2 linked regions of the Lytechinus pictus genome follow. The main gene of each other region encodes a partner of the protein of the gene in region 2 in a complex. Links are inferred from orthologs where the notes say so. Each region holds a gene or a part of one and is shown on either strand. Other genes may lie near its edges. The genes, in order: exosome complex component RRP40-like and exosome complex component 10-like.

Region 1 (17,345 bases), on a different chromosome or scaffold from region 2:
GCGAGTAGATCTAGATTAAACTAATTTACTATACTCGCTGAAATGGGAACCAGCATGTACAAGGAGTTTTCCACGCTGGTTCCCATTTAAAAAAATTTAAGCGAGTAGATTAAACTAGTTTACTCTACTCGCTGAAATGGGAACCAGCGTGTACAACTCCATGGGGAGTTTTCCACGCTGGTTATTTTCAACGAGTAGAGAATAGACAGCGACGAAATCAATCTTTCTGATCTATGCTCTTTAGAGGATTTAGAATCAGCGAACCAGCTGCGGCGTGCGTAGACAGCTGGCAGCCGTCTGTTTCAAGGAGTTTTTTAACATATTTTTTATTTTTTTAATTTCTCCTCGACTCATACAATTGGTGAGTGGAGCCACCGGAGTTCAGCGGAACAACCAAAAACAGAGACCGAAGCTTTTTTGGTCTACGACTACGGCATGCGGTGAAGCAGTGACTGAGTGAGCAAGCTCAAAATATTCTAGGTCACTAGAGGCGCACGGCCAATATTGGAGACTGTCTCCAATGTGGGAGATTATCTCCAATATCAGAGACTTTTGTAAAGAATTTGGGTATCCAATTTCAGAGACAGTCTCCAGTTTTGGAGACCAATTTCCTTTGTTTACATTTGCTGCAAAAGGATTACCTTGGCGGCAAATAAAAATGTGATAAGCAGATTCCTCATGAAAAATTGCCCCTTTTCACCGTCTATTTTAAAAATTCACCGTCTACTTTTGTTTTGATATTTGATAAGGATTTTTGTCAATCACACACAAAACAAATGGGCTTCTGACCTCAGTGAGACAAAATTTTGGGTGGAAAAAATCATGCTTTTTTTGGTGTTGTTTCTTTTGTCCTTTTGCAAAGCAAGTCTCCAATGTGGGAGATTGTCTCCCCTATTGGAGAGAGTCTCCCATATTGGCCGTGCGCCTCTACTGTAGGTTGGTCATGTCTTGTCGTGAAAAAAAGTGTCTAGTGGAAATTAGGAACTGGTTCCCAATTGCATTTGCAATTTCACAATAAAAAAATAATGCCGAAAATGTCTACAAACTCCTCCGAAAAACCACTCACACTATTGCGAGGTTAGTATGTATAACACTCACACTATTGCGAGCGCGAGGTTAGTATAAGTAAAAACTCGCACCATTGATTGACCACGTTTGGCAATGGATTTCTAACTAGTGGGTCACGCGTGCTGCGATCCCACTTCTGGTGTCCACAACACACAACTTCTAAGTTCTATTGCTTGATTTTTCTGTGCGTGGCGGCATGTAATGAACCCTTGATTGCCGAAAAACAGCACTCAGTCTGACTCACTCTAGGCGACACCGCAATACTTACCCGTGTTAATAAAGTGGGACTCCGCTCACGCGCGTTTGGGCCTCCCTAGCTTAGAACAAAGCACTAATATCACCTTAAAAACTAAATCTACAAAGTATGTATAATCTATTTACTACTTTAATAATGTTTAATCGGTACTCACCGGTTCTTTTGATGTATTTTCTCAAGAATTCCCACAGATTTGTCTCAAATCTCGCGACAAACCACGTCGCCATAGACAGCTGCATATTCTTTTTTATTTATAAATAAAGCGCCCCTTACGATAGTTGTTAACAACGCGGCCAAATCGTTAGGTTTTTTGCACTGTGTCCAAGGCTTTTTTATTTTGTTTGATTTTTTATTTTTAATAAATATTTTGTTCAATAGCGATTTTTACGTCAAATATTAAATTTATATCAAAAAATATTTTTTAATTGTAGAAATATACATAATATTATGCAATAATTTATTCTATATATATTTTATAATAAAATGTATAATTGTTGCGGTCTTTAAAAAAGGATAGTCGATTGATCAGGTGATGACCACACGTATCACGTGATCTGAAAATCAGCTTCATACCGCTTTGATCGCACTCGACGGTGACCGGACTGACTGCCAAAAAAAGATCGAAAAATGACTCAAATGTAAGTTTCCCTTTATTAGGCACTTCAGGTGAAAATTAGGAAAGGCTGTTCCAGCATATTTGATGGGCTCACAATGAGGCTCAATATCTACGATTCACAAAACTGTTTGAATTTTCAAATTCCGATATCTCGAGTTATTGTCAACTTTGTGATGAAAAAACAGGCCTTTTTGTGGACAAAAGAAGATTGCGAAATCTTATTATTCTCTTTGTTTTGGGCATGGCACATTTATAATACATAGCTTATGGGGAATTGTACAAGCTTTTTATTTAAATCTTAAAGTACTCAGATTGATTTGACATATTGGCATATGATTTCTTTGGTTCAAGGGCAACTACCCCTGGACGATAACCCCCCACCCCCCACCCTCGGACAATTCCCCTCCCCCCACCCCCACCCACCCTGGACAATTACCCCCCCCCCCCGGACAACTACACTGTACCCCTATCCAAAAATCTACACCTAACCTAACCCTATTTCGGGGGTAATTGCCCTGTGGTAGGTTTGTGCACAGGGTAAACATGACTTGATATTGATTTTCTTTGCTTGAACATTATAAATTAAGTTTTCAATGAATATAATTTGTAATCAAAGAAAGAGAAATAAAATAATAATCTTAGGATTTCTAGAAAAAAATAAAAACAGATTGATTTCAATTGTCTATTATCTCAATATTGTCTTGTTATTATGGTCTGAATAAAATTGTTGATATTATTATTGTCTCATCATCATTTCATTATTGTCCCAATTAGTATTATACTTATAATAAATATTATTATGATAATTATTTTTGTTTCATTAATATTATTTTCTAAATAATTATTACAATTATAATTACTATCTTAGTAATTATTGTTATAATTATTTCATAATAATAATTATTATTGAAATAATAATTATTATTGTCTCAATAATTATAAGGCCTATAATTATAATTATGATTATTTTTATGATTATAATTATAATTATAATAATTTTTATAATAATAATAATTATTGATGACTTATCAATATTACTGTCTCAGTATTTATTACAAGTACAATTACTTTCATTATAATTGTTATCATTATAATTATTTTATAATTATTATTATTGTAATAATAGTTATTTGTCTCAATAATTATAAGGCCTTTAATTATAATTATGATTATTTTTATAATCATAATAATTTTTATAATAATAATTATTGATGACCTTTCAATATTACCGTCTCAGTAATTATTACAATTATAATTACTTTCATTATATGTCATATTTTCAACTTATCATTGTCTCTTGGATGCTATCCGAATTCTTTCAAATTAGCACGGGTCGTACCAATATTCAAAAAGGGAAATCGTATCCAATGTGAAAATTACCGACCTATATCTATCTTACCCTCTTTATCTAAAATCTTAGAAAGAATAATCCATATCCAGGTATATAATTTTTTAGACAAAAACAAATTACTTTGCACCGCCCAATATGGTTTTAGGAGACAACATTCAACTGAATTAGCAGTTTTGGACTTATATGATAGAATAACCAAATCCCTTGCAAAAAAACAATATATAACTGGATTATTTTTGGACCTTTCAAAAGCGTTCGACACGCTTGATCATTCAATATTAATACATAAACTTGAACGTTATGGTATAAGGGGTACGCCTCTTGCATGGTTCAAAGATTATTTAAAGAACAGAATTCAATACACTGAGGTCGACTTAAATAAATCACAAATTTTAGAACTCCAGTGTGGCGTCCCACAAGGATCCATTCTTGGGCCGCTTCTTTTTATAATATATATGAACGACATTGTAAATTCTTCCGAAATGCTTAGCTATGTGTTATTTGCAGATGATACGACACTGTTATATTCTCATCATGATTTTAATAAAATGATCGTCACTATCAATGTAGAATTACGTAAACTAACCAACTGGCTACAATGTAATAAGTTATCTCTAAACCTCAGTAAAACCAATTATATTATATTTCACAACCCAATCAAAAAGATTATGGAAGACCAGTGCCAAATCTTAATAGACAATACCCTAATTGAAAGGAAAACTAATGTTAAATTTCTTGGCGTTGTTCTCGATCAACATTTAAACTGGAATTTGCATTTTCAGCATTTAAGAACTCATATTTCTAGAATTATTGGTATAATGTTTAAACTTAAAGATACGTTAATGCCAAAGTCTATTATACTATTGTACAATTCTTTCATATTATCTTATTTATCTTATGCTAATATTGCGTGGGGTTGTGGAACCAAAAGAAATGTTAATTCCTTATTGCTACTGCAGAAAAGAGCCATAAGAATTTGCACAGGTTCTCCTTACTTAGCCCATACTGATCCAATTTTCAAAAAACTGAACATATTAAAAATATCTGATATCAATATCTTACAAACTGCAAATTTTATGTTCAATTATACTAATCACTTGGTTCCAAGCAATTTTAATTCAATGTTTATACGCAATACCCAGGTTCATGAACACAATACCAGAGGTTCTAACAATTTTCATCTTAGTAATCCCAAAACAGTACTTGCTTATAAATCCATTAGACATAGAGGACCTGATGTTTGGCACTCGCTGCCTTGTGAAATCAAAAAATGTTCTTCGCTTTATTCTTTTAAACGTAAGCTAAAAAAACACATTATATCATCATATGACTCATAAATCTTCTTAAAGTGTATTTTGATAATTTATATATTGTTACACTGGCTTCCAGTTCCCGATGGGGGAGGGGGGGTTAGGACATTTGTATTTATATTTTTTTCATCCTGTTCATGTCATTATTTTTAACCTATGCCAATATACATGTATTGCCATGATGGCACTCGGGGTCTGCCTCGTCAAGACCTTTCGGTCTTTTGCAGTCTCCCAAATTTCATTTTATATTTATGTATGTTTAATTGTTTTGTTACTATGTATTTCTCTGATATTGTATCTTGTATTTTTATTGAATGGAATTTGAATAAATTGAATTGAATTGAATAATTGTTATCATTATAATTATTTTATAATAATTAGTATTATTGTAATAATAGTTATTATTGTCTCATTAATTATAAGGCCTATAATTATAATTACTATAATTATAATTGTTTCTACAATTATATTTATTTTAATTATAAGTATTATTATTATAATGATTATTATTGATATCTCATTAATATTATTGTCTCAGTAATTATTACAATTCAAAGTACATCATTATAATTGTTATTATTACAATTATTTTATTATAATAATGATTACTGTAATAATTATTATTGTCAATAAATACTAGAATTGATGTCTCAATAATTATTACAATTATAATTATTATCATTATAATTATAATTGTTATCATTATAATCATAATTATTATAATTGTCTCAATGTTTATTGTCTCATATTATTAATGTCTCATCATCACTGTTAATTGCCTCATTATTGTCTTCTCTTACTTTTTCATAATATTTTCAAATTAATAATTAACACCATAACAAAGGTCCATAAATCAGATATCAAATTTATGAAACACATCTCATGTATGTAAACCTATTTCTAAATTAAATTCATGCAAGGAGCTTTCTGTGCCATTCAAAAATACGACTTTCATTAACAATACCATATTCTAGACATTCAGACGCATTCCAACAAAAAATCACATATGAAACAAAATTCTTGAAGTTTACTTGCAGTTTTGCTCTTAATACTTATTTCACACAAATTCTACAAAATTATTTTCAAAATAACAATTTGATTTTCATAATTAACAGAGCTCAAATCGTAATTTAAAAAAATATACAACGGCTGAAACATACTGTGTCTGAACACCAAGACTAATCTCAGGCCCAACGCAGTGGGGATGACGTCACTCACAGCTGTTCGTATACGCTCAAAACAACCCTGCTCGATCGGCCGAGTCAGATTCACAAACACCTCATGACACTCAAAACTGAAGCTCATATTCGCAAACTCTCTACGGACCAAATTTGATTAGAATTTCACAAAATGTTCTCAAATATACAATTGTATTACTGACTGAGTTTACAAGGGATCCGATGATTACAAGAAGGTGATTTCAAGCAAAGAAAAATAAATACCTGAATATTAGGTCCTTCCCTCGCATGAAGGTAAGTTAAACTCCGTCTTGTATATTTCCGATGTTTACCGAAGATGTACGAAGCAACCGCGGGAATTTTTGACCAATCAAAATCAGCGGAATAAAGGAAGAAACTGACTCTGTCTTTTCGAGCAATGCCGAATGCAACTCCAGCGCTCGGCCAAAGTGCCGAGCGGAGCGAACTGTGTGTGTTAGATAGGCGCTCGCCATTCACTGCAATGCAAAAATCTACGTCTAGCGCTATGTCCGCGCTATCGCCCGCCCGACTGAAGTGCCTACCTTTATTTTATTAAATTCAAATTAGGAATAGGAATATATTTAATGGGCAATCTTTTAATAAATGATAAACAAACGAGGACAAAACTCATATTTTGGGAGTAATATCATATATACTAATACTTGGGTGCAGGAAACAGTACGGTTAGAAGTTCTAACCTGTTTTTAATGCATTGTCGCCTATGAGGTCCATACATGCTAATGTTTGGACCTCATTGGTACTAGGACTAGGAGTGGTCTGACTCAGCAGATTTTTGAGTTAGGCCTAGATCTAGTCTTTTCTAGACCTGTAGACCAATACTTACAACTTAGCTTCTGTCGTTGTTATATTGGTTGTTCCACTGAACTGCGTTGGCCCCACTCATAAAAAAATAATAAAAATGTTAAAAAACTCCTCGAAACAGACAGCTGCCAGCTGTCTAATTTTTACTCTACTGACACTGTCAGTGTCACTGAGCTGTCAGTCCCGCCTATTGATTTTTGCGTTACCTACCCTCTTTTGGTGGCAATCTATCCAGAAAGTATGTGGTTTCTTTCGTCTTAGAATCCCTGCTTTTGTTGAGAATATGTTGGCTTCATCTTGCCTTAGCCCTGGTCCAAGAATAATTTGATTATGAAGCTCTCCAGAAATATATCCTGTCAACAAATCACCTGGCAGAACAACACGCGGTTCAAAGTCATCTATGGGGGCTGCCATCTTTATTATCAAAATGTGCACACTGCCATCTACGACAGGGAAAGTTTTTCACGACAGGATTTGTCTGGGGGTCTCACGCGCGTAAAACATTCCCCATAGACTTGTGTGTTAAAATGGCACTTTACAAAAATTCATAAAAAATAAATGTGAAATTAGAGGGTCGAATGTTTACTACCTTTGGATAGGATATATATCTGACATTCCATATCTGACCAGAGAAGGGTATCGTAGCCAGCTCATTTTAAAAATAAATCGCCATTTATGAAGATAACTATGATGGGATCAAATTCATCAACTGAAACGGTAAAATAGCCCCAATTCTTCCGCCAGTCAAAAAATAGTGCCAAATCATTGATATATCTTCCCAATTTGGGCAAAGGAAGTTCAGTAGTTACCATTTCTAGAATCAGTGTTAGATTTTGAATCATATTCATACATTTTTGTCAATCAGCAATATCAAATTGAAAAATTTCGAATGGGTTGGGTCGAACGAATATCTTTAGCCCTCCTGATGTAATTAGGCTCATGGCACCTATATTATATGACCTATGAATTTTATTTTTTTAAATAGCTACTTTGCTATTCTTTTATATCTGTAAACTTACACTAGCACAAAGAAATACATTGAAAATGCGTATTTTCTATGCAATGACCCATTTTAATGTGCTACTCATACATGTTATATTCACTATATGGATGTATACATATCCTTCCTGCATATAGCCCAACAGTGAATGCAATGACAATATAGGCCCCTGTTCTCCTTGTAATATAAAGGTGTATGTAAATTTGGTGTAGATATCAGGATACCAGAACTGCCCCAAACATAATTACCAGATATACATGAGATTGAATGAGGAAACAATAAAAGAATGAGAACATATAATATTACTTTAGTACATTTGCATTTGAACTATTATATCAAAATCTTCCTAGGGCTATTGCCTATCAGATGTAAGAAGAAAGAGATACATAAATAGATAGAAAGAGGAGAGAGAAAGAAAGATGATTTTATAGATGTCATGGCTTATAAAGAGGGGGGGGGCTAGAATAAGATTGGATCACACAGCCACCCCCCCTCCCTCCTTAGTTGAGCACTATTAGATACCTTACCTTAATACTCTGTGCCTTTTTCTAAATACCTTCTTGAAGGTACCACTCTAGTTCTCTTCAGTAAAGTTCAGAAAGTTCTATCTCTAGCTCTCTACCCCATTCCAAAGAACAATTTTAACATGAGCAATTTGTAAAGGTCTTTCTAACATTAAGTAGGTGATCATACACTAGCACAAACCAATGATGAATCAGAACATAAAGAGGCCTAGACTCTCATTGACCAGTCTATATGCATTCCTAGGCTTACATACACATACCTACTAACTTTACCTGATATAGCCTTGCTAAGCCATTAAATCAATTTTTTGCACCACTTGATGACTAAACATATTGATATCACTTAGAAATTGTTTGCTTCAGAGGAGTTTTGGCAGGTATTCCATCCACTATAGGGAATTCGCCTGTATTACTTATAGGTCTCACGCGCGTAAAACATTCCCCATAGACTTGTGTGTTAAAATGGCACTTAACAAAAATTCATAAAAAATAAATGTGAAATTAGAGGGTCGAATGTTTACTACCTTTGGATAGGATATATATCTGACATTCCATATCTGACCAGAGAAGGGTATCGTAGCCAGCTCATTTTAAAAATAAATCGCCATTTATGAAGATAACTATGATGGGATCAAATTGATCAACTGAAACGGTAAAATAGCCCCAATTCTTCCGCCAGTCAAAAAATAGTGCCAAATCATTGATATATCTTCCCACTTTGGGCAAAGGAAGTTCAGTAGTTACCATTTCTAGAATCAGTGTTAGATTTTGAATCATATTCATATACATTTTTGTCAATCAGCAATATCAAATTGAAAAATTTCGAATGGGTTGGGTCGAACGAATATCTTTAGCCCTCCTGATGTAATTAGGCTCATGGCACCTGGGGAGCGTTTCATGAAAGGACTTGTTGGACGTTTTATCCGACAAGTACTGTTTTATCCTCCCACGCGAAGCGCGAAGCTTTTGGTGTTTCATAAATTAAAATGAAAAGGAGTCGTCTCTCTTGTCTCTAGTACCTATATCAGCTCCAATTCAGTTGACTATATTGTGATTTTGAACCTTGTTTTCAAAAGTGATTGTGAACGCACAAAAAGGAATACAATGGAGGAAATTAAAAGCACTGAAATAACCCCGCGCGAAGCGCGGATGCTAAAGCGTTTTATCAATATTTTTGCCATGAAAAGAGTCCCGAGAAAAGGGTATTCTCATAGATATAGTGAATACTTCCCTTGGAAAGATCAGATTTGATTACAAACAATTTAGCGACAGTGCATATCTTTAACTCGCAAAACAGAGGAGAAGTGTATATAACAATAATAATAATAATAATTAACATTTATATAGCGCTTAATACAACAGTTTCTAAGCGCATTGGAAAGAGAAAAAAAGAAGTAGCAAAATACAGTGAAAGAGAACAGGATATGGAATTAAGAGGACTGCTTAACGAGGTAAGATTTGAGGAGTGTTTTGAAAGATTCGACAGTGGATGCATTACGGATGGAGATTGGGAGATTGTTCCAGAGTTTAGGGGCAAGAGCAGAAAAAGCACGATCGCCATAACGGGTAAAAGTGCGGGGTCCTAGAGATAGTCGAAGGTGAGCAGTAGAAGAAGATCGGAGACGTTGAGTTGCAGAGGATGAGTGATAGAGAGAGATAAGATTTTGAAGGTAGGATGGGGCGAGACCATGGATGATTTTATAGACAAGGAGAAGGAGCTTGAAAATAATTATATTATTATGAACCTGAAGCCAATGGAGGGAGTAGAGAATAGAGGTGATATGTTCAAATTTCTTAGTGAGGGTTACCAATCTAGCTGCAGTATTTTGAATTCTTTCCGGGAGGAAGATATTCGGTCCCAGATATTCCTCCCCGCGCAGAGCAATAAAACTCTGAAATTTCAACGGGCGGACGTTTCATCAAATGCAGATATCTCTAATACCCCATCGGCTCTAATTCAATTGATTTCCTAAGATTATTGAACTCATTACAAGGAAAATAGTGCGCAAAAAGTTGAAACTTCTGTGATTTATTGAAATTATATAAAAAAGGATGCCTAATTTCTTTGACTTATCCTGAAGCGCTTCATTTTGAATTATAAAGAAACCTAAGTGTCTTTCAAAATTTCAAACTTAGGGCGCAAAACAGGACAGGAGATGAATGTGCAAGGTAATGACATGAAGATTAATAGAATTTGATACAAAATATTGTACTTTTTTAGTTAATACGACACAAATTTTATACATTCCTCTTTTTAAATTAGGAACCTGTTTGCCCCAAAATTATGGTTGTTTAGTAATGAGCTGAAAAGCGGGAGAAGTTGACTTTATGGGGGTGACGGGCTGACGGCAGAAAGATATATTAAGATTTTACCCGCCCGGAGCCGACCCGACCAGAAGTTGCGCGATCAATAAAAAAAAGATAACTTCATATACTTCGGCCTAACCTTACTCTAATTCCATGCCCTAATGTATACATTTGAACTTTAACTGGCAAGAAACACATATAGCTGAGGTGGAAAAACAGGGTTAGAGAAAGGGTGGGGGAAACAATGGAGAACTTCAATATTGTCATTTAACCGCGCGCAGCGCGGAAGCAAAATTCATATATAAATTTAGAGCAAGAGTGTAGGAGTTTCTCTTTTGAGAAAAAAAAAATAAATAAAAAGAAAAATAACCCGACAAAGCTACCTTTCTTCCCTTCCCTTTTCCTTTTCTCCTCTCTTTTTTCCGCCCCCACCGCCCCCCTGGCTACGCGCCTGCCCCAGGTCTCCGTTTTATCCATAGAGATGTATACTAATAACTAATTAGTATACATATCTATGGTTTTATCCGACTAACAGCTCAGTGCTTCTCAGCCAATCAAAATCAAGTAAAGTTATCGGATTTGACATCTTGTCGGACGAAAATGATGATGAAACGCTCCCTAAAGTTGGCAGGTTCAAAATTCATGACACGCGCACACATATCGTACAGAGAGGATATATATAAATCCAAAAAGGGTTCATTAGTTTTATATGTTTTTACACTTCCCCTAAATGATTTAGGGGAACATCTGTAGTGCCACCCTGCTTAGACTTGAAATAGTTATAGGCCTATATACAGGGGCGTCGTGGTCTAGTGGTTAAGACTATATATATAATCATAATCACAAATGGTTTAGAAAATGCCGTAGAAATAAAATAGTAGACTTTAAAAGGAAAATGATGTTCTATATATATATGTATATAAAACATCCCTTTCTTTTTCTTCTTTTTCTTTCTTTTTCTTCTTTTTTTCTATTCTTTTTCCTTTTCTTCTTTTTTTCTTTTACTTCTTTCTCCCCAGCTGTCCTCTATTTCTGCCCCCTTCTCTCTCTCAGCTCTCTTTTCTTCAAGTCGTTTTCCTTTTTCTCTCTTCCTTTTGTCTCCCCGGCTTTTTCTTCTTCTTCTTTTTTTCTTTTTCTTCTTCTTTTTCTTCTCCTTCCCCTTTTTTTCTTTTTTTCTTATTTTCTCTCCCCCTCCCCCAATCTTTCTTTCTCTCTCTCTTTTCTTTTGTACTGTTGCGCTTCGCGTTTTACCTTTTAGCGCGTTGTTATTAACGCTTTGCGTTTTGCGCACTGCGTTTCTTGGTGCTGTTGACTAATAAATTAATCATTTCCTAATGAAGCCCTATGGGCGAAAATTTGATCTAACTTTTCTCTCTACGGTTGTTTTATTCACCTTGTATTTTGCTATATATATATATATATATATATATATACATACATTGTATATATAATCATAATCACAAATGGTTTAGAAAATGCCGTAGAAATAAAATAATATATTTTAAAAGGAGCATAGCTCTCAAAAATGAAAGGTAAAGTCACACTCTTCGTCAGATGTAAAAAAAAAAGACGATATAGAGGATATGACTGCAATACAATCAACATAGTAAAATCTAATTGGAAGTCGTATTGACCTTGGCATGCGTGTATTCTGGGGGATGCTTTCGGGGCTCGGGCCCCTGGGTAGGCGAAAGGGGGGGGGGCGCCAAAAAGAAGAGAAGAGAGGAAAAGAAAGAAAAAAAGAAAAGAATAGGGGAGAACTGGGGAGGAAAAGAAGAAGAGAAAGAGAAAGGGGAAAAAACAGAACGGGGGGAAGGGGGCGCCGAATTTATGTTTGAACTGGGGGGGGGGGGGGGGGGCAAATTGATGTTAGACTTAGGGGCACCGAATCGATGTTCGACATAAGGGGCACCGAATTGATGTTTTACCAAGGGGCTCCGAATTAATGTTTACATAGGGGGCGACGAATTGAAGTTCGGCATAAGGGCGCCGAATTGATCTTCAACCTAGGGGGGCGCCAAAATGATGTTCTACGTATAGGGGCGCCGAATTGGAGTTTGATGTAGGGGGCGCTGAATTTATGTTTGACCTATAGGGGGAGGGCGAATTGATGTTCGACCTCGGGGCGCCGAATTGAAGTTCGACATAGGGCCTCGGCGAATTGATGTTCTACCTAGAGGCGCCGAATTGATGTTTGACATAGGGGGCACCGATTGATGTTTCACTTAGGGGCGCCGAAATGATGTTTGATTGAATGTCGACTTAATAGGGCGCTGAATCGACCTTTAACCTAGGGAGGCGCCGAATTTATTTATTTATTAGAAAATATTTATACAGGATAAAACGATTAGCTGAATCGCCGTTTTACTTCAATGTCCTGATTTTAACAAGATTAAAAACATATTTAGTCACAATAGTATGATGCAACATACATAAATATTAAAAACAGCAGTATCCACACTCTGATGACAAAGTGACAATTCAACACTCTAGGAACCTAAACAGCGACGGCACCTTGATTCAAGTTAAAATTTCATTTAGAAAAAAAACAGCTCTCCAAAAGGACAGCCACTCCACAAGCACACAAAGGCGCAAAACCAGCACCCCATCCTTAAGAGTGTATGACACTAAATAACTATACACAAGGTTTGCAGGTATATATCAATTATTTTTGCTGAAAATATGATAATGAATAACTGTAAAAGTGACGTTAAGACACTAACATAAGTGAAATTCAGTTCAAACCATTTAAGTAACTATATTACGGGAAGGCGATCAGCTACCTCCACCTTTCGCAAGCAACCAAGAATCCATAACTCGGACCAGACTCTGCCCAACATATCGCACACATGGAAGAGAAAATTGATGTTTGACCTAAGGGCGCCGAATTGATGTTCGACATAGGGGAGGTTATTCCTCTGGACTATGCCCTTGTTAACAAATGGCCGTTTGTAATATTCTGTTCTACATCTAATTTCAATTGATTCAGATTGCGCGTCATCATAAAGAGTAAATCAATTGGCAAGAATTGAGGGGACTAGTTTGTTGATATATTTATAAACCATGCACAGTAGTGATTTAGTTTGCACTTCTTGAAGAGATGGCCAGTTAACTTGTTGAAATACCTGTTCTGATGGGGTCATCCATGCAAGAGCAAATCAACAATATCAATCACATTGACAAATCAACAGCATCCATACTACTGCTTATACTATGTCTAGATCCAATGAGCATAACTTTAGTTTTGGTATATACAATCATTAATAAAGTATAGTCAAGTATAAACTTTGTCCAGAGCTTGGATCAGATTTGTTCTACCTATAGGGGCGCCCAATTTATGTTCGACATAGAAGGGCGCCGAATCTATGTTTGACATAGGAGGGGGCGCCGAATTGATGTCCGACCTAGGGGCGACGAATTTATGTTTTACTTTGGGACGCCGCAATGATGTCCGACCTTGGGGTCCGCCGAATCGATGTTTTACTTAAGGGCGCCAAATTCATGTTCAACCTCGGGAGGGGGCGCCAAATTCATATTCGACCATTATGGCGCCAACTTTATGTTTGACCGGGGGCGCCAAAATCATGTTTCACATGATTTTGGCGCTCGCGCTCGTATCAAATGCAATTAGATGCCCAATCTGTTTGTGATCACCAAAAGTGCCTAGAAAGTCCAAATTTTAGGTCAGAATATCAAAAAATTTCAGCTCGCGCTTTGCGGTCGCATAAAATGCTGAGATAGATACCCATATCCCTTTCCGAATTACCAAAATTGCATTGAGACTTTCAAATTTGAGGTCAGAATATCAAAAATTTTCGCACTCGCATCAACGTATACCCATTATGTTCACTGTTACAAAAAACTGCTTAGAATATCCGATCGGGAAACATAAAATTATTGATGAAAATATGTTTCACCCCCCCTTAGTGAAAGCTAGATCCACACCAAAGTGCTTAAAGTTTTATGCTTTTAGGGGGGGGGGGATGTTTGGAAATTTCTTGGTCACGCGTAGTTGTTGGGAGAAGAAATTATTGTATATCATATTAATATATATAACAAAAATATATATTATAGTGTTACATAAGAAATATTTTTTCATAAATTTATGAAAAATTATTTTCTTAGGGCCTATGTGTTTATCATTCCTGGTGCTCGCACTGTCTGTTTAATGAGATATATGATCCTGTTTGACTAAAACATCCCGTTTTAAAGTCCATATACACCAAATATATTTCCTCGCACTTCGAGTTATTATTGCTTTATGGAGTGACATTATGCTTCTTTTTCATGAGTACTTAAATTGATTTCCCTATTTAAGGTCTGAATTTAAATCATTTCCAGTCCGTATTTACGTTCGAATTAGTGGAATAGTGATATATGTCTGCTCTTCATGAAGTCTTATAAACAGTCCTTAAAATGTCCCCTTTTGGTTTGATTATCCGAGTCAAAATATCAAAAATGTTTAGCTCGCACTTCGCATCCGCATCATTTGGTTAGTGAATTACGTATGGCCTTGTAAATTCCCAAGAACAAGCCATAGAATGCCCCTCTTCAGGTCTGAATTTCAAAAATTTTCAGCTCGCGCTTCGCGCTCGCAATATTTGATTAGTGAGATACGTGTCATATTTATGTTTACAATTACGTTTAGTGAGACAGATACGTATGATTATTACAACAATTTGCTTATAATGTCTGAGTATCACAAATTTTCTGCGTTATTTGATCAGTGAGATACATATCCTTTTCATGTCACAGTCCTTTAAATGTCTCTAGGTATACTTGGTGATCGAGTGCAATTTACGCGACCAAGGATGGCTAAAAAAATTGCTGGTGCCCCCCCCCCCCATCCCGAGACCAGCGGTTCACAGGGGAGCCAAAATTAGGTCGCGCCCCCGGGTTGAAAAATCCTGGATACTAGTACTCGCATGCTTGGTGAAATCAAATTCGATAGGCATACAATTTTATAATGTAAGACATGTTTTGCATATAGGCCCTCAAGTTTTGGTCTTATATTAATTCTTCGATTTAATTTATGAATGGTCCATTTATGGTAGTCTATTGTAGTCGAATCTAAGAATAGGGCCTATAATCAACTCTTTTTAGCGCTGAAGTCTCTTAATTTGTTTTTAGTGACTTGTTTCTGCCCCTACTAGGAGCGGCAGGCAGGTGGGAAAAATACATGATGAGGAGAAAAAAATTACTTGGAACGAAAGAAGAAAAATAAAAGTAGGAAGGGTGATAAAAAGAGAGGTACAGCCGTCTTTCAGTTGTAATACATGTATATATTTAATCACAAGCCGAAAAATGATAATAACGAGAAGGGGGCGGGGGTGTAAAAAATGAATTCAGCGCGATATCGATATCGGTCTTATCGGATATCGATAGCCGGCACCGCCGCGCCCAGGCTATATAAGCTAGGCCGGCCCATAAACAAACGCCCTATCGATGGTGATGTCTGACGATGCCTGATTAATTATGAGCAAGATACAAGAGATCTATTTTACTCTCATTTTTGGAAGAACCATAGTTTAAGCATGCCACGGTATTTAGCACTTGACTACGCTTTCGAGGTAAGTAGATATAGCGTTAGGCCTAGCCTGGCTATTCACTACTGTTTGTCTTTGAGACTTTGTTGAAACCGGATCTCCTCTTCTTCGACTTCGGTCGGGCCTCTGGGCCTTCTGGCTCTGCAGTGGGCGGCGCGGCGGAGCTCCCTGGCCCTGCCATGCCGCGCCGATGGACGTGCATATTTGGTGTGTGTGTGTGTGTATTTGAGTTTTGTCAGACGTGTATCAATCAGATATGATTATTTACGTCTGGGACCGACCTTTAACGTCACCATCCGAAAGACGTGACCAAGGCTAGCTCTAACCTCGAACCTCTGCATCAATTTGTAACTTCCCCACATAGCTTGGATTACAGGCGCACGCCACAACGCCCAGTGACAGCTTTTAATAATAATAATTTAAGAAATTAAGTTAACTTTAAGTTTAACAATAACAGTTACTAACTCAACTGTTACTTAGCTGTTAAGTGTTAGTAAAAAAAAGGGAAAGCGATGATTGGACCAAAAGTCCAAAGATTAAATTTTAATTTATTTTAATTTATGGAATTAGTAATGTGGTCAACATGGTTTGTCTAACTTGTTAGCCTTTTTATTTTTAATTTTGCATGAAAAATGGCAATGACAGGATGAATGGGATGGGGGGACCAAAAGAAAAAAACACTTTCATGACTTTGTTTAGATCTAGATCTACAACTTGAACTCACTACGATAAAAACTAGATCTAACTTAGGTCTAACGTTAGAACCTATGGCTATGCCAATTTCAATATTTGAACAAATTATCTTTTACTTATTTGCTGGAAACATTCTAAAGATCATTAACCAAGAAGAAAATATAAAAAGCTAACTAGATCTAATAAAATCATGCTGTGTTTTCCGAACACCTCTTGATTTCGCCACCTGATGTAAATTTAGAATAAGTGGTCCTAAACTTTAGGCTAAAGCTAAGCACTTGATTTATCATGCAAAAAAAAGAGAAGTATTTCCTGTGCCTCAATTTCTAAAATATGTTCATATTATTATAGGATAATATGAAATTAAAGCGAACATAATTCCAAAATTCCAAACAGTTGTGGGTTTTTGGTGCACTTACAGACTTACTGCAGCCTCTGTAGAAAAAAATGAATAGGCCTAGCCGCCCTAGTCTAGGAATTGTTCGTCACTCTGCAGTCACAGTTCCACACACAGAGTGCACATTTGCCATTAAAAACTGCATGCGCAATGAGTGGTGCGTAGCTTTAGGGCCCCCTACTATACATCATGTTCCTACACCTCCCGTGTCTGGTTAAAAAGTTTATGCCCAAACAAACAAGGGCAAGGTCAATGC
Region 2 (17,166 bases):
AGGACCTAAGAACATGTCTAAGTCGTGCATTAAGTTGTGCATAACTTTACACTTAGCTTTATGAAACTCTCATCAGTTCCGGCCGCACAGAAACGCTGTTAGACTAACAGAGCACTAACAGTAAGCCCAGTCAAAACTTTCGGATTGTGATGTCAAAACATTTATTTTAATGTGTAAGTAATGCATTGTTGTAACATAGGCATCGCTGCCACATTACCGGTTGTAACAGGGCCTCTGTTAGCGCATTGTTCGCGCTAGCAACGTTTCTGTGCGGTCAGTACAGGTTGTTTCACACGATCAATTTGGCATAGAGGGCTAAATGTCTTGAAAGAACATATCAATATTGTGATTAAATTGAATTCAATATATTGTTGGTCAAACTGAAAAAGAAATAATAAAAAAGACAACATGTATCCATGGACAAAACTATGATGAGGTAATAACGGACCAAAATCCATTGAGCAAAGATTTGAGGGAGCATAAAAAGAGAACCATCCCCGTTCAGAAATTGTTTCATGTTCCTACCTTTTTGTTCCAGCTGGTGACGATGAGTTGTGGTTTAGATACGCCAGGTGAGAAAGTCTGGGCCGGCTTGCTGATGCCTTCTGCTTCATCCAACAACGCACCCTGTGATTATTATTAAATAGAATGAATAACATGGTGTAAAGCTGATAAAAAGAGGGAGAAGACTTAGAACTTGATGGAACATGTTGGGCTAGGAAGAAGCTGTGGACCATTTAGCAATGGCAAATAGGATATGTTACACTTCAGATTCAGATATTTTCATTGTCCAATTGCAATCGAGTACAAATGGAAATCCAATTTGTTCGCACAAAATAATTTAGAATATTACATGATACACACAAAAGATTACACGACACATATAGTAAACATTATGCAAATCAACAAGCAAAGATGAGAGAAATTCAGATAAAATCAGGAAGGGTTATGGGTATGTACCGAGGAGGGATGATGGGCACATTTTAAGCAGGGCTCTTGTGTTTGAGATGGATGTTTCGAGGAAGGGGAAGGCCACAAATGGTAAGGAAATGGAAGAGAGGAGGAAGGTTGGATTGAGGATGTACTGAAAAATGCAAAGTGGAGGGAGGGCTAAGGGTGATTGCTGCCCCCCTAATCAATTGGAACAAAACCAAGTGGGTGTTTCATAAAGCTGTTCGTAAGTTAACAGTGACTTTCAGGGCGACTGGTGATCCTTTCTTGTGTATGGTACACACCAAAATGTTCACTGGCGATGGTTTAGCACTTAAGAAACGTTCACCAGTCATTCTCTCTTAACTTAACGAATGGCTTTATGAAACAGCCCCCTGATAAGTTTGCTGTTGTACTACCACTACTTAAATACTGTTATAATAATTCGAACAACCAGGATTTGGAACTTGGGGTCACCATCTATTACTTGCAAGGCAGCAACTGCAATTAAGTAGAAGATGAAGGGTTCCAAATCTGCTGGTTGCATACAATTTTCAGATATTGAGTATGCAAAATTAAAGACTATGTATGAAGGACAAGACCCTTAATACCTTGGTCACATTTGCTCTACGGCGAGTCGAAAACAGCCGTTTTATTCATTTTTATTAAAACCACCTATGTATCGCTGGTAAAAAAAAAGTTAAAACGGCTGTTTTCGACTCGCGGTATGGCCGCCGTAGAGTAAATATGACTGAGGTATTACTACTAAAATAAGATGATAAATTTAGTAATTGGGACTGACCCTTGATTGTGCACATTGCATGATGGGATAGACGTGACACAAGAGGGGGACAGTAAAGGGAGGTTTACTATCTGCATCGTCATTAATAGCATCAGCACAACACATTATTTGAGATGACAGCATGGAAACGTGCAATGTAAACTAACCAATTATCTCTTAATTCCGTTACAAATTCAAACAATATTTGAGGTACTGTGATAATAGTTCATGACATATTGCCTTAGTTGAAAACATTGACAAGATCTTCAAGAAGAATAATATCATAATAATAATAAGTCATAATTAAATCTTTGTGAAACACCCCCCTGATCTTTAAAAGTGCACAGCTCTGGTAGGAGGGGCATTCCAAAAAGTGTTGATTTATTATGCCTTCACATAACAGATGAACGGTAAAAAATTATTACGTTTACTAATCGTCTTACCGCACTTTCAAGAAGTGTATCATTGGTCTCGATGAGAGAGTCTACTCGATCCTCAAGCTCGAGGATTCTGCTGAGACCAACTTGACTTCCACCGGCTCCTTGCTGTCCTGCTAGCCTCTGGATACTAAAAATAAAATACAAAACAGGGAGAAAAAAAATACACAGGGGTCCACAGGGGTCTGGGGTGATTTAGCCCCTAAAATGCTCATAAGAGAAATTTTAAAGCTTATCCAATGTTGCAGATTTAGGCAGTGTTAAGTTGTGAAAAGTAGCACCTGAAAATAAAATAAAAAAAAACAATTTTTATGCCTGATACAAAATATACAATAACATTAATAATCATTCATTTCAGTCATCATTTTCCAACCTACATATTGGGTTGCAACTTGCGAAGCAACACTCGCATTTCAGACTAACCTTTCCAGGAGTTTGTCTCCCTGCGAATTGCAGAACTGCCTGAATCCTTCGTAACTGGAGTAGAAGTCGTAGTCATCACCGGCAGAGGGTAGTTCATTTGCGGTTCTGGTGGCTACCTTCAGCTTGCCAAGGGCTTTCTGTGAATTGACCAAATAGAGAAGCAGCATAATTCAGATTCAGATCTTTTTATTGTCCAATTGCAATCGAGTACAAATGGAAATTCAATTTGTTCACACAAAATAATTAGAATAACACATAATACACACAAAAGATTACACCGATACATATAGTAAACATTACACAAATCAACAAGCAAAGATAAGAGAAAATAAGATAAAGGCAGGAAGTGGGGGGGTAACATAATTTCAAGTATGGCTATTAAATTCACGGATTGAAACTGGAAAAAAATAATTTACAAAGCGTGAGGTTCTGCCTGGAAGGGATCTCAGATGTTTGCCTGACCTCATCAAATTATAATATTCCTGAAGGGCATGGTTCTCATTGGTTAGGATCTCTTTGGCTTTTTCAAGGACTCTACATTTACCTTCATATCTACAAGTTGATCAATTTATAAAGAAATTAAAAAATCAGCCAAAGTAAATTTACCAACCAATCCTCGAATTGGCTAGAATCCTACCTTGGCTACAAAAATATATACAAAATGATGCGATAGTATGAAATTTCTATAAAGCAGAGGTAAAAATAGAACACTTTATTCTGCCGTCTACTGCTCGTGGACAAGTGCATGGTCCAAGGCACAGATCAAAGCTCTATGCTGCAGTCCTGCACTTGAGATTTGCACTAATTCGATGATAAAGCTCTAGTGCTCTTGATGGTAATATTAAAAAAAAAAATTTACATGTAGACTTGTAGTCTTTGTAAATTGATAACAATAACATGTATTCCATTAAAATGACCAGACATTAGCGAATTTTTACAATAAAAAACAAAAAACTTCAATAGATCTCCATCCACTTGGTCTAGCCGGTTTAATGGCAGCAGAGGATATTTGGTGAAAAGAAATCTGCAAGAATTGTGTAGATATGCCCTAGACACGACTTTAGAAATCATCACCTTTTCTTTTATTATCCATCCTCATCCTTGCAATCACCTTCACCTCCACAATCCACCATCACCACCAGTCCATTCACAGTTCCACACCATCAGACAGCATCTTCATCATCAATCAAGACCAACATTCTCATCGATATCATCATTCTCATCATCAAAAGACATCATCACCATGATCATTCTCATCATCACCATCATGCTCATGATCAATCACCATCATCACCATCGTGATTTTCCTCAACATAATTTATTACCAACCAACCAACATGCATTTTTAAATTGATTCATTCCTCTTCCTGAGCATGCCGAGTCAGTGAGTCCTGCCCAAAACGTTCAGAACAAAATAAAAGACTCCTGACTGTCCTTTCAGTGCACTTCGGGTTCAATTCATCATATTCATAATTTATCACAGGCCAATCAGATATATTGTCACCTTCATCATTCATCCTCCTCCTCGGCTCATACTCTTGTCTAAAAAACATCAATAACATAATTTCTATTTTCAATTTCAAATCATGACATCTCATTATCTGGTGCGACTCGAGCTCGAGTAGCCAAGTGGCTCCTAGAGAGTAAAAATCATTTACTAACGTATGCTTACTCTCCACGGAGCCAGGAATTCCTTCCCATTCATCTCCATGTACCGCCAAAAAACCTGAAACTTTCGCCCCCGAGATTTCTACTTTCCTCCTAAAAGATCTAGCTCTAAATCATGTAAATGGGATATAACTTCATTTCCGACATTTCTACCCTATCGATTTCATTTTTAAACAAGAATTCATCTTTAAAAAAGGGGAAAAATGTTATGAAAAGACGGGGAAAACTTGCCACCGTGTTTACATCACCATCTTGATTTCATTGTCTTTTGCTTGGCGACATGCGAATGCACACAAATCGCGCGATTTGCGTGCTGTTGCCAAGCGAAAGACAATGAAATCAAGATGGCGACGTAAACACGGTGGCAACTTTTTTCGGTGGAGATTAAAGCATACGTTAGTAAATGATTTTTACTCTCTAGTCTAGGAGCCTCCACTCCGGCTGAGCTCGAGAGGAGAGCCGACGACGGAAAGGTAAATTATAATGCCCAATGGAATAATAATTGACATTTAGAATCTATATTTACAATATCCTCATAATTAGAGCATTTCACATTATGATGGTGGTCCCCAAGTCTGCGCACCTAACGATTTGAGTTAAGATTTAACATGAATTTCTTTTTAGTTCACAAATTCTTTCAGTTGATAATTTTCCTTATGCTATTATTAGGGATGCCACTCGCGCGCCGAGAAATTCCTGCCAGTGCGCGCTGCTGACGGTTATCCTTACAAATTCTTGGCAGGAATGATGAAAGTTATTCAAACAATGCAAAAAAAGTACACATATAACAAAAAAAACAATGATACATTAACCTGAAGAAAAACTCTTTCAAGTTCTTGTATTTTCATACCCATTGCTGACACATATTTCAACTACGACCTCGATGAAATCCTAGCATAATCAACCCATTCATATGTAAGATCAGCTGATTCCCATTGATCAAGATTTCAGGACCGAGGAATTTGATCGTAAGCCGGGGCGATTGGGATGTGAAGGGGTATTTTGAAACTCTATTAGCGATGTGATTATATTGCCCAATTTCATTTTCAAAAACCCCATGTCAAAGTGGAACATTCCAAGTTCATGTCCTTGACAACGAAAAAATCCCCAGGGCAGGCAATTGGAGTATGGACGACCAGAACAATGTCTATCATTGATAGGTTGATTAGTACTAAGATTTCTGAATGTCTGATGGAACTTTCGTCAATTTCACTTGTGATTGCACAATCCTGATTTCTCACACTTCATACCCAGCCATTTTCATGATGATCTGATAACTTGATCACTCTGCTATTGGAGACAAGTGGAATGCCTCTGGCCGTCTCACCTGCATCACGCTATTCAATATAGCAGAAGTGCTGACTTTGAAAACTACTGTAACTCGCACAAGATGTTCAGTGATACTTGGTTACTCTTATGTCCACGTTTTATGAACTAGACCAATACACTTACAGAGGTATGATGGTAATTCAACAAATACCCCCAACATGGCCAAAGTTCATTGACCTTACATGACCTTTGACCTTGAACATGTGACCTAAAACTCGCACAGGATGTTCAGTGATACTTGATTACTCTTATGTCCAAGTTTCATGAGTCAGATCCATAAACTTTCAAAGTTATGATGGTAATTCAACAGATCATACCCCCATTATGGCCAAAGTTCATTCACCTTTGACCTTGGTCATGTGACCTGAAATGCACACAGGATGTTCAGTGATACTTGATTACTCTTATGTCCAAGTTTTATGAACTAGACCAATATACTTTCAAAGTTATGATGGTAATTCAACAAATACCCCAATTTGGCCAAAGATCATTGACCCTAAATTACCTTTTACCTTAATCATGTGACCTGAAACTTGCACAGGATGTTCAGTGATACTTGATTACTATTAGTCATTTTTTGCCAATTTCCTCTGGGTCCAAAGGTGAAAATTTGTGTTTTCAACATATTTTGAACTCCGTTAATATGAAAACGAAAAGTAGTTCGGACCCAATTTTTCAGGTACTTGTTGGTTGTTAACATGTTAGGTGCCCCAAGGAAAAGCAACCTAGGTCCTAGCTATACTTCATCAAGTTTTAAAAGAGGTAGCTTTAAAAAAAAAAAAACACATTTTTGCCATTTTGGCCACTTTTTGGCAGAAAATATGCCTTTTTTCAAAATTTGAATTGGCCATATCTCGGCAACCCCCCGGCCCTCGTCCAATTTTGATGATCTTGGTGTCATTTTACTCGTGTTTCAGAGCTTATTCCAGTTAAACTATTTAAAACTAGAATTACAACACTTCAAATTTCAATTTTTGGGGTGGCATCCCTATTAATATAAGTAAACCAAATATCTCATAAAAATTAGACAGAAATACATGATCTTCTTGGAAAAAACATTAGGCAGTCATTTTCAGATTGAACAAAAAATTGGTACCCCATGTCTACGCACCCATTCACTTTGCACGCAATTTGGGGATTTTGATGAAAAAGGCTGCTTTTTGAGGCCATCACATGAAATGCCCAAAATTCATTATTTTTTCGTAATTTTGAGTCGAATTTTTTAATGAATATCTTTCCAAATACTGTGTAAAGTCTGTGGTCATCGCGTACTACATGTAGAATCGCGCAGATACGTAGGGACAGTGATTTTCCGCGATCGCGGAAAACGGACGGAATTCACGGATATTGCCTTTTGAAACGGAAAGTGGCATTTCAAACGGAAAATCACGGAAAACATATTTTTCCTCAGAATACACAGAATAGCAACAGTAATTACCCCAAAATCTCAACAAAATACGAATATTAAATGGCTACAAAACCTCACAAAACACGATCTCACTTCACTACAAAGTATGACAATCCACACATCGTGACTGCTCTCGACTCCATCACTCTCGATCGAACCCCCGGGCCTCTCCCGGGTCTTGGCCGGCGGCGGGGTCGGCCGTATCGAAAACATTCACATGCAAACAACACGGTCATGTGTTGCTGCCCTCTACGTTTGAAGATGTAACAGTACAATATTCCGGTCTTAAAATCCAAAATGGCGGATAGGCTAAAGTCGTTGACTGGTCGAAACGATGTCCAAAACCCCCCAAAATTATCTATAAAATTTAATTTAACAAATAATGCTAATAATGTGAAACTGAAAGGTAAGGATGTATTTATGTCAAATATGTTTGTCAAAATATTTTGTGTACCCCATACTAGATCCGATTAACTGTAGTGTTAGCATGGTTAGAGCGGATTCTACTGCGTTGTTGGTACATACAGTGGCAGATACAAATTTTGACCAGCGCGAGTGATATATTGCTCCTGAATGGTAAACGGAATAGCCAATTTTCCGTGTACACAAAGTCTATGGGGAAACGGAATTTCCGCTTTCTGACATGCTGAAAGTGAAACGGAATTTACGATTTTCTGAAACGGAAAAGGCAATTTTTTTAAACGGAAAATCACTGTCCCTAGATACGTGTGTGCGAAGACAAGGAGGACTGCGCAGACGAACTTGCCATACTTTTTAGCTTTCAAAGTACAAACAGAAACTCTAGACGCGGGCAGTGCGGCATGTCATTGTCAGGTGCCTGGCAGGCCAGCGCGCTAGCCGGCGGCGACGGCTACAGTACAGCGCAGCGCTAGCGGCCACAGCAGCATCATCCAGCCGCAACGCTGCGAGTGCGAGGCTTCATCTCATCCTAACCCAGAGAGCTCCCGCCCGCGCAGCGGGCGCCCGCTGCGCGGGCGGGAGCTCTCTGGGTTAATCTCATCCCAGCTCCACGCTGAATTAGTGTGTCAACAAACCTGAGCAAAATCGTTCACACTGGTGAATCCTGGCACATCCGTGACCATCATTTCGTCTCCAGCCTTTTCAGTCATTTTTAAACGGTTGAAAACTTTCGAATGTTAAATCTCTTGTTAGTTTGATTGGGAAATCGTGGCTCAAACTCGTCTCGATCTCATCTCAATCAGTCTCAGCTTGACTGACGCCATCTTCAAAACACCACGTGGGAGCATCGTTGGAGCTTTCTCTGACGTCTCTAGTTCTCTGTACTGTATGTACGGTACTGTACATAAACTTAAAGTCAAAGTCGTCGATTAAATTCTTCTTTCTTTTTTTTGGCAGTAAACAATTCATCTAGATCTATAGCTTTAAAAAGTTCGTGAGCTGTATTTTCTCCAAATATAGCAATGAGTAATCGGTATTTTGGAGAAAAATCTCCATCCTAAATGCTTACTACTTTACTAGGTCACCTGATACCAGTACACTGTCACGTGATTTCATGCATGTACGTGTACTATAATTGGGAGTACCGAGTAGTTGGTTGGAAGTTGAAGTCAGAACAGGCAAAATGTCATTGTCAAAGATATCAATTCTGGTTTTATTTGGTGCCTTGATCAATGAAACCCATCTCTGGTTGAAGACAAAATCGTATCTAACTGATGATCAGACAATTGCAAGAATAGCAGAGAAATTTGTTGGTAAGAACTAATCAGCAATTCTACTCCCAAATGCATGAAATGGGCAAGACAAAACCAAAACAAAACTTTAATTAAAGCCAAAACAAAAGCAAACTGAAAAATATTTAAAGCCTTAAAAAGGCAAAATGATTCCACTTATTTCCAGCAGTCCAGCTCTGGGCCTCGGGAGGCGCTGGGGGGGGGGTGTACAATGTCTGTGCTCTTGAACTGAATATTTGTACTACTACTAATTTACTCCTGACTAGTGACTGTCATCATAGACTAGTCTATGTCATGATGGAAAGACTGGAATTATATTCAGTAGACGTATACATGTACTCGAAGTACACAGGGGCCGCGGAACGGTTTTCAAAGTGGGGGGGCTGACCATGCAAAAAATCACAATCCTATGGTCATTTTTACGTTTTTGTACACGGTTTTGACTTTTGGAAAAAAGTGGGGGGGCTGAAGCCCCCCCGGTTCCGCGGCCCCTGGTACATGAACGAAACTCTGAATTTCGTAAATTGCGGATCAAGACAGTCAAGAGCCTCGAGCGCCTAATACTCGACAAGTCATGCAACCCTTTTGTGGGAAGACTAAATTTGCATATATAGTCTATTGCATGGGGATAGGTGTTTCCAAAATTGGGGGAAATTTCTATCTTTTTATTTTCAAAACATTTTTTGTCTCGCCTGCATAGCAGAGCGAGACTACGAGGCGCCGCTTTTCATGTCACGTCGTCAACATTGAAATGTTAACCCAGGTTAAGTTTTTGAAATGTCATTATTAACTTAAAAAGTATATGGACCTACATGTAGCTCATGAAACTTGGACATAAGGATAAGGGTAATCAAGTATTACTGAACATCCTGCCTGAATTTCAGGTCACATGACAAAGGTAATTTAGGGTCAATGAACTTGGACCATGTTGGGGGAATCAACATCAAAATCTTAACCTAATTATATAAGGTTAAGTTTTTGAAATTATGTCATAACTTAGAACATATATGGACCTAGTTCATGAAACTTAGACATAAGGTTAATCAAGTATTACTGAACGTCCTGCTTGAGTTTCACGTCACATGACCAAGGTCAAAGGTCATTTAGGGTCAATGAACTTTGGCCAAATTGGGGGTATCTGTTGAATTACCATCATAAATTTGAAAGTTTATGGATCTGATTCATTAAACTTGGACATAATAGTAACCAACTAGCACTGAACATCCTGTGCAAGTTTCGGGTCACATGATTAAGGTCAAAGGTCATTTAGGGTAAATGAACTTTGGCCAAATTGGGGGTATTTGTTGAATTACCATCATAACAAAGTTTATTGGTCTAGTTCATAACTTGGACATAAGAGTAATCAAGTATCACTGAACATCCCGTCTGAGTTTCAGGTCACATGACCAAGGTCATTTAAGGTCATTCAACTTTGGCCATGTTGGGGGTATTTGTTGAATTACCATCACAACTCTGTAAGTATATTGGTCTAGTTCATAAAACTTAATTGGACATTAGAGTCATCTATCACTGAACATCTCATGCGAGTTTCAGGTCACATGACAAAAGTCAAAAGGTCATTTAAGGCCATTGAACTTTGGCCATTTTTGAGGTAATTATTAGATTGCTGTCATAACTTTCAAAGTTCATAGATCTATATAGTGTATAAAATGTATATATGGGGTCAATATCATTTACAAGTTTTAGGTCACATGATCAAGGTCAAATATCAATGAACGTAGTATTGTATCATTATATGAGTGTTTTTTTTGTGAATAATTATTTTATAGTAGTTTTCAAAGTCAGCGCTGCTGCTATATTGAATCGTGTGATGCAGGTGAGACCGCCAGAGGCATTCTACTAGGGGGCAATTCCGTAAAATATGTACATCCGACCCCCTATATGTGGGACCTTCATGAAGTTTTCTGTCTCTCATTTCTTGTTCTTTTGACAGTCTGTAGGTTAATGTTCTCAAAGGGCCATGGCTTGGTCATTTTATGACGTGAAGTAAGACTTGAGAAAAATGGGGGTCAGACGTACAAAACGGTTGATCATTTTATGGAATAGCCCTAGGGTATATATTTGTTGCGGAATCTTCTCGTGGGGGGGGGGTATCCCAGGGGATTTGAATTGCTTCACTCTAACTCATCAAAAATGTACATAACAATTGTATTTCTTTCTGACAGGACTTCCACACCAAGATGCCTTTGACAAGGTGGGTGAGGTTCTTCGGGAGAGATACCCTGGTCACATCCTACCCAAAGAGAGGGAGGAATGGATCTTCATGAATGCCGGTGGCTGGATGGGGGCCATGTGTCTCGTGCATGCCTCGCTCACCGAGTATATTCTGTTCTTTGGCACTGCGGTGGATACTGGCGGTCATTCTGGTGAGGAATAGAAGATAGTCGTTTAAGCTGATCATTAGGCTTGTTTGATACTTGGGTAGGGTAGCTTGCTGATGTAGTAAGGTCGGGGCCTCGTGGTCGAGTGGTTATGACTCTCGTCTTTCATACTGAGGGACGTGGGTACTGTACGATCCCAGCCATGGCATGTTTTCCTTCTGCAAGAAATTTACCCACATTGTACTGCACTCAACCCAGGTGAGGTGAATGGGTACCCGGTAGGAAGAAATTCCTCAAATGCTCAGCTAGACCGCCTATATGGGCAGTTTAGCCAAAGCCGTGATAATAATAGCAGCGCTTGTATCCTAAGGCAAACGGGGCTTGACAAATCCAGCTATTATTATTATTAAGAGAAGCATTGGAAATACATTAGGAAGACAAGTGATTTTTTTTCATGACAGCCAAAGTAACCCCTAAAATTTGCAAACTGAAATGCTTTGGGGTGTAATACCATCTTTTCTTAAGTTGCCCCAATATATTTGCAAGAAAATATTATTCAAGAATATTTAGAAGATCAAGATTCTACGTACAGCAGAACAATGAGAAAGACTTTTACGGCATAAGTGCTAGTTGAGCTAAAAGGAAAAAAAAGTAGTCCTTAAAAATAGAAAGTCTTCAAATTCAGCAATCGTCCCAATTTGGCCCAAAAAACTGTAAAATGAAAATTGTTTCCTATCAGAGTAACATATTGTGCTTTTTTTATGGATAATAGGTTTTTTTTTTTTTTTTTTGAGGGGATCCAAAAACAGACAATTTGCAGAATTGGTTGCCAGGGGGAGGAGAATATTTTACTTGTTCTATAAAAGCATGAGTACATGTAAACTTGTGCGAGATCAAAGCAACCAAGAGTATTGCAAATGCATTTTTTTTTCATTTTAGGGTGAAAAGGAAAAGGTATTAATTTCTATATCACTCTATTTATTGTTTATTCACAGGTCGATATTGGGCAAATGTTTCTGACACGATCATAAGTGGGAATTTTCGGCAGTGGAAAGAAGGAACAACCGAGAGTGAAGAGTATGGACCGGGTAAGAACCATCATTCTTTGAATCTTAGTATTTCAATTTTTCTTATTAAATTTGTACATTTACTGCCTCCATCATTCTAACATCCTCACAGGACAGTGTTGATTATCCAAAGTGGTTGAAGGTTCAGGAAAATTTGTGTGTCCCAGGAAAAAAAGGAACTTGTTTTCAAAGATATTACAATTATCAATATGTTTTGATTACAAATTTGAAATCAAGATGAATATTTAGGGAATCCTATATGCAAGGTATACCACATTATAAACACTAAAAATTGAGCCATGTAAGAACGATTTGTGCGGAAACTCATTTGTAAACCGGTCTTCACTCTGATGCAGCGAATTCGTGAAAGAAGCATAACAAAGGACAGTGAGAAATGCTATTGACTATTCCTCCTTAAAACCCTTTTGTTGTTTACTTGACACATCTTGACTATTTTAGGTGCAACTTAATCCTAACATTAAATCATCAAACTCTTCTTGTCCATCTTTCATATCATGACATTATGAGGTAGGCCCCTATCCAAATAAAGAAGAAAAATTGCAAATTAGGAATGAAATATCATTTTATCATTAAAAAGCTAAGGTGGGAAGATAATGGTGAATCCTGTTTTCTTTTCTTTTTCTGAGAGGCACTGTACTCACAGCTTCAATGATTTCATTTACGTTGAATAGAGAGGGGTAGGGTATAATCAACTATAGTAATGATTAAAAAGGGTATTTTTCTTGGAACGTGTTTTCAACAAAAATATCCCAACAATTCATTATCATCTTGCAATAGAGAGCTAATGCATAGATATTGTGAAGAAGTACAGACCTTTCATTTGTCTGAGATCAACAAACCGACTCTCATTTATTTTTTTTCATTTTCGGTTGACGATAGGAGTCACACTACTCCATGCTTGGGGTGAGGCCACTTCCGTCCAGTGGACCGCGGGCACCTGGATGGTTGAATATGGGCGTGGTTTTATACCCTCCACCCTCCCGTTTGCCATTTCCGACACAATCTTCAGTACCCAAGACTTCTACACCCTCTACCGAATCGTCAGGATCTACGCAGAGGCACTGTTCCAGGAACTGCTATGTGTTCTTTGATGATGGTTTAAGATTGTTAGTGGATTAGTTAACAGAATGGGGAAGGGGGGTGGTTAGATTGACAGTTAATTTGGTTAAGTTTGTTTTTCCTATTGATATACTGATGGTTCATAAGTTCAAAGGTTTTTAATTTAAAACATGAAATAAGGTTTGATACTCTATAAAGGTTGGCCAAACCATTGGCAGATCCAGGGGGGCACATCTGGCCTGTGCCCCCCCCCTCCTTTTGAGATGCATAATCAAAATCTGTAATGTAAATTGGCCGTTCTAACACAAGTTTGCTCCCCCCCCCCCCCTTTTGAAAGTGAGGACCTTTTTTGTTTGATGGAGATTAAAGCAACTCTATCTGAAATAGGACCAGCATCGATTCTTTTTATTAGCATTTGATAGGTAGGCCTAAGGTACCATCTTACTAATCAAAATTGCTACCCTTCAATAGATTTTTAGAAATGTTTGAATGAGTTCTGATAACAATAATGATAATAATTAAAAATGAACGTGATGAATGTACAATGTTTTGTATAGCACACTTCCATTTTTTGATGTTGGATAGTATCACACTTACTATTAATATGCAAGAGTGTCATAATGATCATAATATATTGAATATATAATCTTTTGTCTAACACATCACTTCCAAAGTATTACCTCTGACCGGTTACCTCTGGCCAATTTATTTGGTATCTTTCATACAAGAGTGGTATAATGAATATAATTATATTTTGAATATGCATGCTTTGGTAGAGCACATCAATTGAAAAGAAAATGTTGGATGTTTGGATTTTTACCTCGAATTGATATGCCAAGGTGATATGATGATTATAATATTACGTGTATATAAATATACATTCCTTTGTAGCACATCAATTAGAAAAATATGTTGGATATTTTTACCTCTGACTTTTATATGCAAGAGTGATATAACGATCATAATACAGTGCGTATCAAAAAAAGTTTACACTTTGAAAAAGCCCTGGGAATTAAAAAATATACAACATGTGGGTAATTTTTTCACATACAATCTTGGGTTTGGGTCTCATCTGTCCAATGAAAGTAAAAGTTTTGACAGAATGTTACACTTGAGTGAGCACTGTCCATTTTTGTAAAGCTCGCAGAAATCTGTTTGCTCAGAAATGCTGGTTTTCACGCTGTGTCAAGGGGAAAGGGCGAAATCAAACTTACCCTGCAAAACATTTCTCATACATTTCCCTTGCACTTTTAGTCAATTGAAATAAAACGGATACATTCAAGCACAGTGTAACAATTTTACCACCCTAATTGAAATTTCAACACTTAGTAAGCACAACCTTTACCTCTTTTTTGCCAGCTGGATCTGAGGACATAGCTGAATCTGAACAAACGTTTATATCAGACATCTCCAGCATTTTTTCACTAAGTTTTTATCATTTAAAGTGGGTTTACATTTCCTTTTTCATTTAATACTTGTTTCTCCACACTTTTCCCAAGCTTGGCAATGATTAAAAAAATGAAAATCAAGCCTAAGCCATGTCATGTAAATCACAGCTCAGTGTAAAGCAAATATTGTCATGATGGCCTCGGTGTGTGGGGGAGTGGGATGAGGCGCAATGCACTCTTCGAAGTGTTTCGGGCAAGGAAACAAGTTAAAAAAGATAAAAGATATCTTCAAATAAATTTTACTAGCTAAATTTCACGTGTTCATGATTAAGGTCTACTTTTATATGCATAACTTTTTCAAAGTCCTGCGCAAATAATTTTTCACTAACTTTTCAAAAGTAAGTGGTGTTCACTCAAGTGGAAATATTTTTCGACAGTTATATCGTCATTTGCTTTAATGGATCTGTACCAATGTTAAAATGTGGAAAAATCTTCAGGATATTACAAATATATAATTTTACAGGATTTTTTCTAAGTGTAACCATTTTTTTATACGCACTTTATATTATGAATGTACATCCTTATGTATAGCACATCATTTTCAAAAGTCGGATATTTTTATTACCTCTGACTTTGGTAAATTTCCGAGTGTGTCTTGAACCAAGAATCCCAGAAGTAAGCCCACAATGCATTTGTCCTTGCTAATTATTGTCTACATGTATCATTTAGCAATTTAGTTACATTATTACATTAGTTACATTATATTACAGTACCAGACTGAGAAAATGTATAGTGGGAATGATTTATATGAGATTGGTACATGTATTAGCACTTTCAATCTGTGCTATGGAAGCAAAATGCCATATCGGGTTCAGGCCTTTTTGGCATGAGGCCGACGATATCATATATTCCTGCTGTGGTTAAACTTGAAAAATATGTTAAAACAGTTTAATCCAATCAAATATAGCTTGGGTAAAGTCTGTAAACAAGAATCCAAATCAATTCGGAAAAACACTTCCGCTAATATTGCAAAGCTGCGGGCAGCCTTGATAGAAACGGACTGGAGTGAAGTTCTTAAAGAAAATGATGTGGACATATCGTTTAAAAGGTTCTTACAAAAATTCATGTCTCTGTATAATAAAAATGTACCAGTTGTAAAGCAAAGTAGAAGAAATCGTAAAAATGTTCCTATTATGCCATGGGTTAGTGCTTCTTTGTTGAGATCCATTAACAAGAAAAACAAGCTGTATTATTCGTATAAAGTGCGTGGTACCGAATCTTCACGTAAACGTTATGTAAATTATAAAAATACGCTTACTTCAGTCCTTCGTATTGCAAAGAAATCATATTATCGCACTCAATTTCAGGCAACAAGAAACGATATCAAGGGAACTTGGAAAGTGATTAAGAAAGTATTCAAGTCAAAGGAAAAGATATCTCATGTAAAGAGTATTGAAATTAACGGTCATGTGGTGGAAGAAAGGAATATTATAGCAGACAACTTTAACAATTACTTTTGCAGCATTGGTCCAAAACTTTCACGGGCAGTGCCACTTTCTCAGCAGACTTACAGAGATTTTATGAAAGAGCAAAATAGTAAAAGTTTATTTTTCTTACCAGTAGTTCGGGAAGAACTGCTTACCATTGTGAAATCTCTTAAAAACGGGAAAAGTCCTGGTTATGATGGGGTTTCTAACAACTTAATTAAAGAAATTATCTTAGGAATTATTCAACCCCTACTTCATGTCTTTAATCTATCAATGTCATGTGGGAAAGTTCCTACTGACATGAAAATTGCGAAGGTCGTACCCATTTTTAAGAAAGGAGACCCTCAATGTCTGAATAATTACAGACCTATTTCTCTATTGACTGCATTCTCAAAGATTCTTGAGAAAGTGATCTATGTTAGAACTTTGAAATTTTTCAACAAGAGTAATATTTTTTCTAAATTTCAGTTTGGCTTTCGCGAGAAACATACCACCACCCATGCCTTGCTACATTTTATTGATAAAGTATCACAATCCATAGACAAAAAGATGCATACAATTGGTATATTTCTTGATTATTCGAAAGCTTTTGACACAGTAGATCATGATATTTTGACTGGCAAGTTATCACATTATGGTATCAGGGGTACAGCATTGGACTGGTTCAAGAGTTACTTAGCTGACAGGAAACAATTTGTCTCAATAAAGGATGCTGAGTCAGGTTTACAGAATGTCACTTGTGGTGTTCCCCAGGGATCCCTCCTTGGTCCGTTATTATTTATTGTGTATATTAATGATTTTCACTATTCCTCTGATATTTTATCGTTCATTTTATTTGCAGATGATTCAAGTTTGTATCATTCCCACAGAAATCCTGAGACCCTTTTAAAAACAGTTAATAGTGAACTGAGGAAAGTCACTTTGTGGATTCAAGCAAATAAATTATCTCTAAATATGCAGAAAACAAATTATATGCTCTTTAGCAACACGATATTAAAGATAAGTTCCAGGTGATGTTATATTTAATGATGTGTTAATAGATAGAGTAAAGACGACCAAATTTCTGGGGTTGCATATAGATGAAAAACTGATTTGGAAAACCCATATAAATCAT

What was found.
Region 1: exosome complex component 10-like (region 2) and exosome complex component RRP40-like share a complex: the UniProt entries of both Drosophila melanogaster proteins name them as parts of the RNA exosome complex. The link is inferred for Lytechinus pictus from reciprocal best matches to the Drosophila melanogaster genes Rrp6 and Rrp40.

Annotation. Positions count from the first base shown.
Region 1 is NC_087255.1:34,041,611-34,058,955, forward strand, and holds the start of exosome complex component RRP40-like, read right to left. Parts: upstream 7,055-17,345; 5' UTR 7,037-7,054; coding exon 6,833-7,036; intron 1-6,832. Other genes in the region: protein shortage in chiasmata 1 ortholog-like, read left to right, coding at 15,988-16,023. UniProt on the Drosophila melanogaster protein: Non-catalytic component of the RNA exosome complex which has 3'->5' exoribonuclease activity and participates in a multitude of cellular RNA processing and degradation events.
Region 2 is NC_087258.1:25,013,549-25,030,714, forward strand, and holds the start of exosome complex component 10-like, read right to left. Parts: upstream 8,923-17,166; 5' UTR 8,710-8,922; coding exon of another isoform or gene 8,580-8,709; 5' UTR 8,107-8,579; coding exon 8,032-8,106; intron 2,709-8,031; coding exon 2,572-2,708; intron 2,279-2,571; coding exon 2,155-2,278; intron 628-2,154; coding exon 526-627; intron 1-525. Other genes in the region: sigma non-opioid intracellular receptor 1-like, read left to right, coding at 8,580-8,709, 10,875-11,075, 12,026-12,118, 12,998-13,209. UniProt on the Drosophila melanogaster protein: Catalytic component of the RNA exosome complex which has 3'->5' exoribonuclease activity and participates in a multitude of cellular RNA processing and degradation events.